Linked DNA regions of Cricetulus griseus. The protein of the gene in region 2 purifies or fractionates together with the protein of the main gene of each other region. This does not show direct contact. Links are inferred from orthologs where the notes say so. Each region holds a gene or a part of one and is shown on either strand. Other genes may lie near its edges.

Region 1 (4,234 bases), on a different chromosome or scaffold from region 2:
CGCAGGCATCCACACACGGGTACCAAAACAAACACATAAATAAAAACAAATCTTAAAAACCGTATCAGTTCCCTTCATTAGTCCACCTTTACCTCTTTGCTTCTTCCAGATGACAAAGATACTCGTAAGCCACGTTCTGCCGTCTCCTTTCATCCATCTCCTCTGCAGTGAGCCTCTCATTGTCCAGCACAGCTAAGATGAGAAGGAAAGAGCATAAAGGCCAAGACCTGTACCTTTCCTCAGCCATAGCCACCAAATTGCTGCCTGTCACCTAGAAAAGCAGGCTAACTAGTGGATATGTGGGTAGCCAGGTGTACTACAAATGACTTTCCTAAAAACAAACCCATATGGTTTCAACTATACTCATATACCCTGTGTGCGTGCGTGCGTGTGTGTGTGTGTGTGTGTGTGTGTGTGTGTGTATGTATATATGTATATATGGCAAAGGGCTGCAGAGATGATTCAGCAGTTAAGAGCACTCGTTGCTCTTGAAGACCTGGGTTCCTAGCACCCACATGGCTGCTCACAAGCATCTGTAATTCTAATTCAAGGGGATCCAATGCCCTGTTTCTGACCTCCAAGGACACCATACATACATGCAAAATTATGTGTGATATGGGAAGGTGGTCACTGGTAAGCTGCCCAAGCTCCAGTGGACAATCCGATACCCACACATATAGGAGCATCACTAATTGGACCTAGTTGGGGGTTTTCTATCATTATTTTTTTAAAGGCTTAAGAGATGGCTCAGCCTCAGTTAAGAGGATTGGCTGCTCTTGCAAAGGACCTGGGTTCAATTCCCCACATCTACATGAAGGCTTACAACAGGTTATAACTGGAGTTCCAGGGGATCAGACATTTTCTTCTGGGATCTGCAGGCATCAGGTACATACTTGGTATACAGACATCATACACGTAGACAACAAATCACCCATACACATAAAAAAAAATTAAAAAAGAAAAAGAGCCAGGAGTGGCAGCACAAGCCTGAAATCCCAGCACTTGGGAGGCAGAGGCAGGCAGATCTCTTGAGTCCAAAGTCAGACTGTCTTAAGCAACAAATTTAGGCCACCTACAGTTATACAGTGAGATCCTGTCTCAGATAAATTATTGAAGGGGAGAGATGGGAGATAGGTATAATCATATTTTACTTTTTTATATGTATGGAAATCTCAAGGAATCAAATTTTTAAATGTTTTAAATGTATATTACTACATTTTCTTGTAGCCTCAGAAGGTGCCAACTAAGGTCTGTCCTTATTGGTCAGAACTAAAATAAAGGGTATCATACTCTCTCGCCCCTCTTTATTCTGAGCTAAAGTGGGCAGCTATGAGACTAAACATTTTACATACATTCTCTCACTACAGCCCAGAACAATCCTGTGGTTACCACTATTTGACAGAGGAGGAAATTGAAGCCCCATGAACTCAGCCTCAGGGCTAATAAAGGGACCTACATTCAAATCCACCTGTCTCCAGGGCCTGTGGGCTAAACCTTGAAGCAATCTGCCTCCTCCATAAGCACCCCAAGGTGTGAAATGAATTCCTAACCCCCTAGAAAAGCAATCAAAGCCATTCTAGCTCTTCCCCTTCTTTCCCTTCCATTCCCACCACTCCACACCACCCCATTCTGATTCTTCCACACACGGACTATCCCTGTAGTCTTCAATACCATATTTAGTTTAGTCTGCCTCTCAAAGTCATGTCATGCCCTACACAGCATCTTTCCAGTCTGTGTTCCCATGGCCTCCCTAAGTCCCTCTCTTCACCACCATTACTCTTTATACCTAGTTAGTTCATGCATCATGTATCTTTATTGCCCCGTATTACCTTTCTGCCCTGGAGCTAAGGACCCAACCCAAGGCCTTGCACTTGGTAGGCAAGCGCCCTACCACTAGATTGAATTCCCAACCCTTCATCTCATTATCAATCTTTTGTACACCTGTCTCCGACAGTTTTTGAAGGCATTACATGGTCTTATTCATCTCTAATTTCACAAGCATGGCACACTATCTCACACATAACTATGGATACGTTAAAGTAACCCTTAAGAATGCACTTTTCCCAGAACATCAAACAAAATCTGAACCTGCCCAAAGGGATCCTCTCGTAACAACTATCCCACGTACAGTTGGTTAGTTCACTGATGACCACGGAAAATGAGGAAGTGGGGGGGGTGATTATTTGGGTCTGTGTGTGTTTTTTTAATTTTACCTTTGAAATGCTGATTAGAGAACCCAGCCCGAGGAAGTTTAAGTGGCTTGCCCAAAACTGCACCTCGCAGCTAGTCTGGCCACGCGGGTCTACACCTTGGTTCACCCTCGCAGGCAGCAATCGGGGCAGCACACCACCCCCGGGTCCAGTGCCCAGGACACGCCCTGCACAGTCCTCCTGCCACCTCACCCCAGGCCGTCTTCCCCAATCTCAGTAGAGCTAAGCGGCGGAGGCGCTGGGTGGGGCTCCCCTGCCGCAGCTCCTGGCGAAGGCTGAGGCCTGCAGGTTCCTACCCGCCACCTCCGGAGCTCTAGAGGGCTCGGGCGCCAACCTTGCTGCTAGCCACCACACAGCTGGGCTGCTCTTCCGGGTCCGTGCAGTCCCAGGCCACTCCGCGCACCCGCCCGGCTGAGCCCCCGGGAAAACCCGAGCCTAGCCCGTCGCCCACGCACCCCAAGCCCCCGGTACTCACAGCCATAGTGCGGCCGGACCACACCCAGCCCATCAACCTCCTCCGCGGCGGACATGGCGGCGGAGTCCGTTCTCCGGTGAGGAAGCGCTGAGACCTTGAAGACGCGGACGGCAGTAGCAGCGGCAACTCCTGCCCTGTGCGCGGGCTGTCGCGGTCCCCGAGGCCCCGCCCCGCGCCATCAGCCCCACCCCGCGCCATCGGCCCCACCCTGCAGGCCCCGCCCCGCAGACCCCGCCCAGTCGGGCTCCCCCGAGCGGGCGGAAGGGCGTGGTCCCTTTTGCAGGATCCGCCCCTGCCCGCTTCGCCCTCCAGTTGCGGAAGCGAGGAGGCGGGGCGCAGTAGGCAAGCTTGGCCCGTTGCCTCTGCACTCCTTTGCTGTCGTCCTATCCGCTGCTCAGACTGAAAGGCCGCCAGTGTCCGCAGTTTGAAATCCAATTTGAAATCCAAACTTGTTCGGCCGCGTGCCTACCTTCCTCTGACAGCTGAGTTAACTCCCTCTGCACCGCGGCTCATTGAAGGAGCCCTTTCAGGTGGCCCAGGGTGCTCTTGTTGGACGCAAATAGGACCCAAACTGACAGGAAAGACTGTCACCCCTACTCTCTGCCACATTTTTGTCTATCCGGGCTCCGTTTTCTCCAGCGGTATCGCTAAGTCTCTTAAATTTGGGGGACAAAGATGCTGAAGCAGGAGAGCTGTTGATCAGATTAACTTTACACTGCATGCTCTTTGCACGCACGCTCTTAAGGGGTATCTTGACCCTGTTAAGGATGCCTCTTCTTGCTCTTGTGATGTGCTTTCAAAGTGTCGGTATTTGACCGAATTCTCTCTTCAGCCCTTACTGGTTTTTCTCAGTAGCTTGCCCAACATGGTGGCGCAAGCCTGTAATCATCCCACACTTGGGAGGCTGAGGCAGAAGGATCACCATGAGCTCGAGGCCAGCCTGCGTAACAGAGTAAGATACTGCCTCCAGTTAATAATTATCATAAGTAAAAGCCTCATCTCCAGTAATCTTATGCTCACCATAAACCTCAGGTGGTCTCTACTTACAACCCACACCATCTGGAAGCCCCTTGGTAATTTCAAGCTATCTAATCCGCACTTTCAGCTGTCTCCCACAGACATTAAAAGTTTCACAGTCAGCCATTGATCCTGTTCCTGCCTCATTCTCTGTAAGTATTCAGTCACACACACCCAGGTTCTTGGCTTGCCTCTATTTCTGAAGCGTCTAGTTTTTGTTTCTGTCCTCGTTTATGATGACATGTTTAGATTATCATCATCTCTAATCTCACTTCTGCCAACCAGATTGTCACAATTACCGACTAACATCTTTTGTTCTTTCCAAAACACAAAACAGAGTGGTTTTTTTTTTTTTTTTGCTAATTCTGTACCTTCAAGCATTTAAAATAATCTACAAAACTATTTTTAATTTTGATTTTAATTCCTTCAATTACTTAATGGCAAGTAGAGAAACACCTGTAGATTAATAAATAGGTCATGTGGGACAAGGGGACAGGTGTCTTCCTGTGTTAGAATGAAGTTTCTTTTGTGT
Region 2 (3,561 bases):
GGAAACTGCAGATAACAGGTTCCACAAAAACTGGGTCATAAATTCGCTGTTTATAAAAAGAATAGCTACTATTTACTGAGTCCAGCTCTGTATGCACTCTGAATTTTGCTAGGCATCTTACAAACAGGGTTTCTAAGTTTTTCACAAGCCCACAAGGGATGGAGGAACATTGAGGCTAAGGGAGACTTAGAGGTCTAGTCTCTGAAAATATCAAACAGGAAAAAGAAAAAAAGAACCTGCACATACCGTTGGTAGACAGAAGAAAGTAGGCTGCATTCTGCTGAGGGAGCCATCTTATCTTATTGATTTTTTCTTCTATCTCTAAGCTCTTCAGGTAATCGAACTCGGGTTCATGGCTCTGGAATGTGCTGTAAACATTGTATTCACCCCTACGATGAACCTGGTTTTTACTCTGTAGGGTGGTAAAACACACACAGAAAATGAAACCATTTAAAGCAAGTGCCAACTCTGTTTTCCCTTTAAGTGAAGCCAGTAGGGGTGGGCTGGCAGGCTACATCACAGTGTGGGGAGGCCAAGATCATTGCAGCCATAGATTCAGCTTAGTTTACTGGTCCCCAAAGCATGCACTCTGTTGGTTAGAAACACACACACACACACACACACACACACACACACACACACACACACACACACACACGTAAATTATATATTTAAATTATATTAACACAAAGTGTAAATAATATATATATTATATATATATATATATATATAATATATATGTATATATGGTGTGGTGGCATACATCTTTAATCCCAGCACTCAGGAGGCAGAGGCAGGTGGATCTCTATGAGTTCAAGGCAGCCTGGCCTACAAGGAGAGTTCCAGGCAGCCAGGGCTATACAGAGAAACCCTGTCAAAAAAAGAAGGAGGAGGAGGAGAAGAAAGAGAAAATGAAAAGAAACAAGTTAAAATAGGGCAAGACTTTGAAGCCAATACAAATAGAAGGTCTAATATTCAAATCTTTGTGTAGTTCAGGAAATGCTGAATGGTCCATTCCAGGGTGATGCTCACACATGATTATATCAATTCCTATGAAAGGTGCAAAAGCTGTAGCAAATGCAACTTTCAATCCTCATGGACTCTGAGATGTAGGAGAAGCTGGGAGATAGACCCTGGAGGCTCAGAGACATAAGTGACTCTTCCAAGGTCATATAGCACTTATGAGCAGACTTGGACATCAGTTCCTCCCACCTCCACTTTTATCCAGTATAGTGATGAAAGGGCCATCTGCACATGAGTGCCATCTGTATCACAAGGAGAATGATGGGCTTTACCTATGTCTTTCCCATGGCACTAATTATGCAAAGTGCAAACAGCAGGAACTAAATAAATGATGAGACACTGGAGCACAAAGCCAAGGGCCTGAAGTTATGGAAAAAGGTGAAGAGGAAGAAAAAGCTTCTTGCAGAGACAAAGATAAAAAGAGAGAAGAGGGAAGATTGTATTTGCAGGTATTTCAGAACCATGTTACCCAAAGTCGTGAGAATTGGCTTTGAAATTTTGTTCAAAAATTAAAATTTGGGTTTCACTAAACATATTTTAAATCAAAGTTTGACTTTTTAAAGAAAAGGCTCAATTAAAACTCTAGGGTCTCAGATGGACACAGGACACTGGAAGGCATGTTGCAGTTTGTCCACAAGTGGCTACATCTGCTGAGACTGGAGTGGGTAGACACTGAGGACTGAGGTCCTTCAGAGCAGTTTTTCTGGGAGTGAGAATACTATTAAAGAGTCACTGGCCCCAAATGATATCACATGACTTTTGTGAGGCAAGCCATGTAGGCATCTGAGCCCCAAATTTTGGAGAAGCTAACACTGAACTACTTGATCCTCATCCTCACTGATGTTTCTGTCCCAGTGAAGCCACCTCTACTGCTTTGGAAGGTGTGCCCCCATCATTCTCCTACTGAGTCAGGCTTCCCAAACCTCCCAGTAAATGAAAATAGGTGAAACCTATATATAGCTAGCAGAAAATGTGGGGTGGAATATTACTGGCAACATGCAGCCTTGGGTAATTTATGCTAAATAGCTCCTCCAGTTCCCCTTAATCATAGCTGTGAACCTAATTGGATTTTTTTTTTTAAAATTGGAGACTTGAAAATCAGTTTTCAAAGGACTTCAGATGCCGACATCTTTGACACTCTCCTGCTTACTCACAGAGGACCGGTCCACCTTAACAAAAAATGTCTAAGAGGGCTGATTTGCTACCATCCAAATCAGACTGTCAAGTGTGTATACCATGTGCCAGACCAATTAGCACCAGGCAGCCCTGGAAAAAGCAGGAAAAATTCCAGGTCACAAAGAGCGATTTAGTTCTTACTTGCCAACTACATTTTCATATTTCAGGGGCCAATGCAATAGGCTGGGTGCCTGATTTAATGCCGAGCTCTTGAATTTACACAGAACCCCGAGGGATTATGAAACCCTTATAGAAATTAATTGCAAATAATGTGCAATTACCAAATATATCACCCCTAAATGAGGTTTTCCTCTTTTGAGGGGGAGGTATAATGCAAATGGCTTGGAGGCACAAAGCGGGCATTAAATTGCTTGGGAAGTCTCTTGTGGAGACTTCCTCTTAACACTGGGCCTCCCCCACACCTCCCCAGTGCCCAGTGGATCTCAGAGGAAGACAGTGGCAGATGGGCGAGTAGCTAGAATACAGACTACCCTGCTGGAGGGGCTACAGTGTGCCAGGAGAGGCCAAGGAAACCAAATCGGGCCATGATTCCATTCCGAGAAAACAGAAACAGGCCTGGGAGGGGAAGTATCCTCAATTTATGTGGAAAAGAGATGGTTTCTAGTGGAAACCAAGCCCCAGGAAGAAACCAGCCATAGACATGGGCATGATATAACACACCCAGCTCCCAGGACACACACTAACATGTGTCTGCGGGGCCAAGAAGCCCTTTTGGAGGATTTCACCCCTTTGGCAGGTTGAATATCAATTTCTTCTCTATTGACCCAACATGCCCTCTTTACTACCGTTGTCAAATGAAGCTATTTTCCTCTCCTATATGAATTCTGCAGTACCTGAAATGAAGGAAGCCTGAATTTCAACACCAGGATAGATCCCAAGACAACAGCTGGAGTTTGCTCCTCCACAGGCACCTGTGGAATTTTGCAGGTCAGATGAGAACAGCTGCTGTTTCCCAGTGTTCACCATACAGAAGGATTAGGCTCTGCCAGGGGAGAACCCTCTTTGAGGTGCTTTTGTGGGCTTGAACTTAGAACTGCTATGGATGCTAATGACTTTTTGGCAGTTTTATGTGGTGAGCAAAGTGGCAGGCAAGGTTAAGGGCGACAGACACGTGGGGATTAAGGCACAGTGGGAGGCCTCCTCTCAAAAAGGGAAGAAAATGAGAATTTCCAATTGGCTGACACTTACCTCCTGTTCTCGCTGAAATATTACAACCCGACCCCCCTTGTCCCCTGTCGCTAGTAACTCTCCCGTGTGGTTGAATTCTACCGTAGAGATAATGTCAGCTGAAAAGAAAAAAGACAAAAGCAATTTAAGTAAGCGCACACTTACTTTGAAAGG

Evidence for each region.
Region 1: the proteins of Ppp2r2b (region 2) and Iqgap1 purify together in Homo sapiens (co-immunoprecipitation; 3 studies listed by BioGRID and IntAct, with this or other methods). This does not show direct contact. The link is inferred for Cricetulus griseus from reciprocal best matches to the Homo sapiens genes PPP2R2B and IQGAP1.

What each region holds. Positions count from the first base shown.
Region 1 is NC_048596.1:116,792,435-116,796,668, reverse strand, and holds the start of Iqgap1 (ras GTPase-activating-like protein IQGAP1), read right to left. Parts: upstream 2,853-4,234; 5' UTR 2,741-2,852; coding exon 2,686-2,740; intron 193-2,685; coding exon 93-192; intron 1-92. UniProt on the Homo sapiens protein: Plays a crucial role in regulating the dynamics and assembly of the actin cytoskeleton.
Region 2 is NC_048595.1:195,204,045-195,207,605, reverse strand, and holds part of Ppp2r2b (serine/threonine-protein phosphatase 2A 55 kDa regulatory subunit B beta isoform), read right to left. Parts: intron 3,507-3,561; coding exon 3,409-3,506; intron 413-3,408; coding exon 247-412; intron 1-246. UniProt on the Homo sapiens protein: The B regulatory subunit might modulate substrate selectivity and catalytic activity, and might also direct the localization of the catalytic enzyme to a particular subcellular compartment.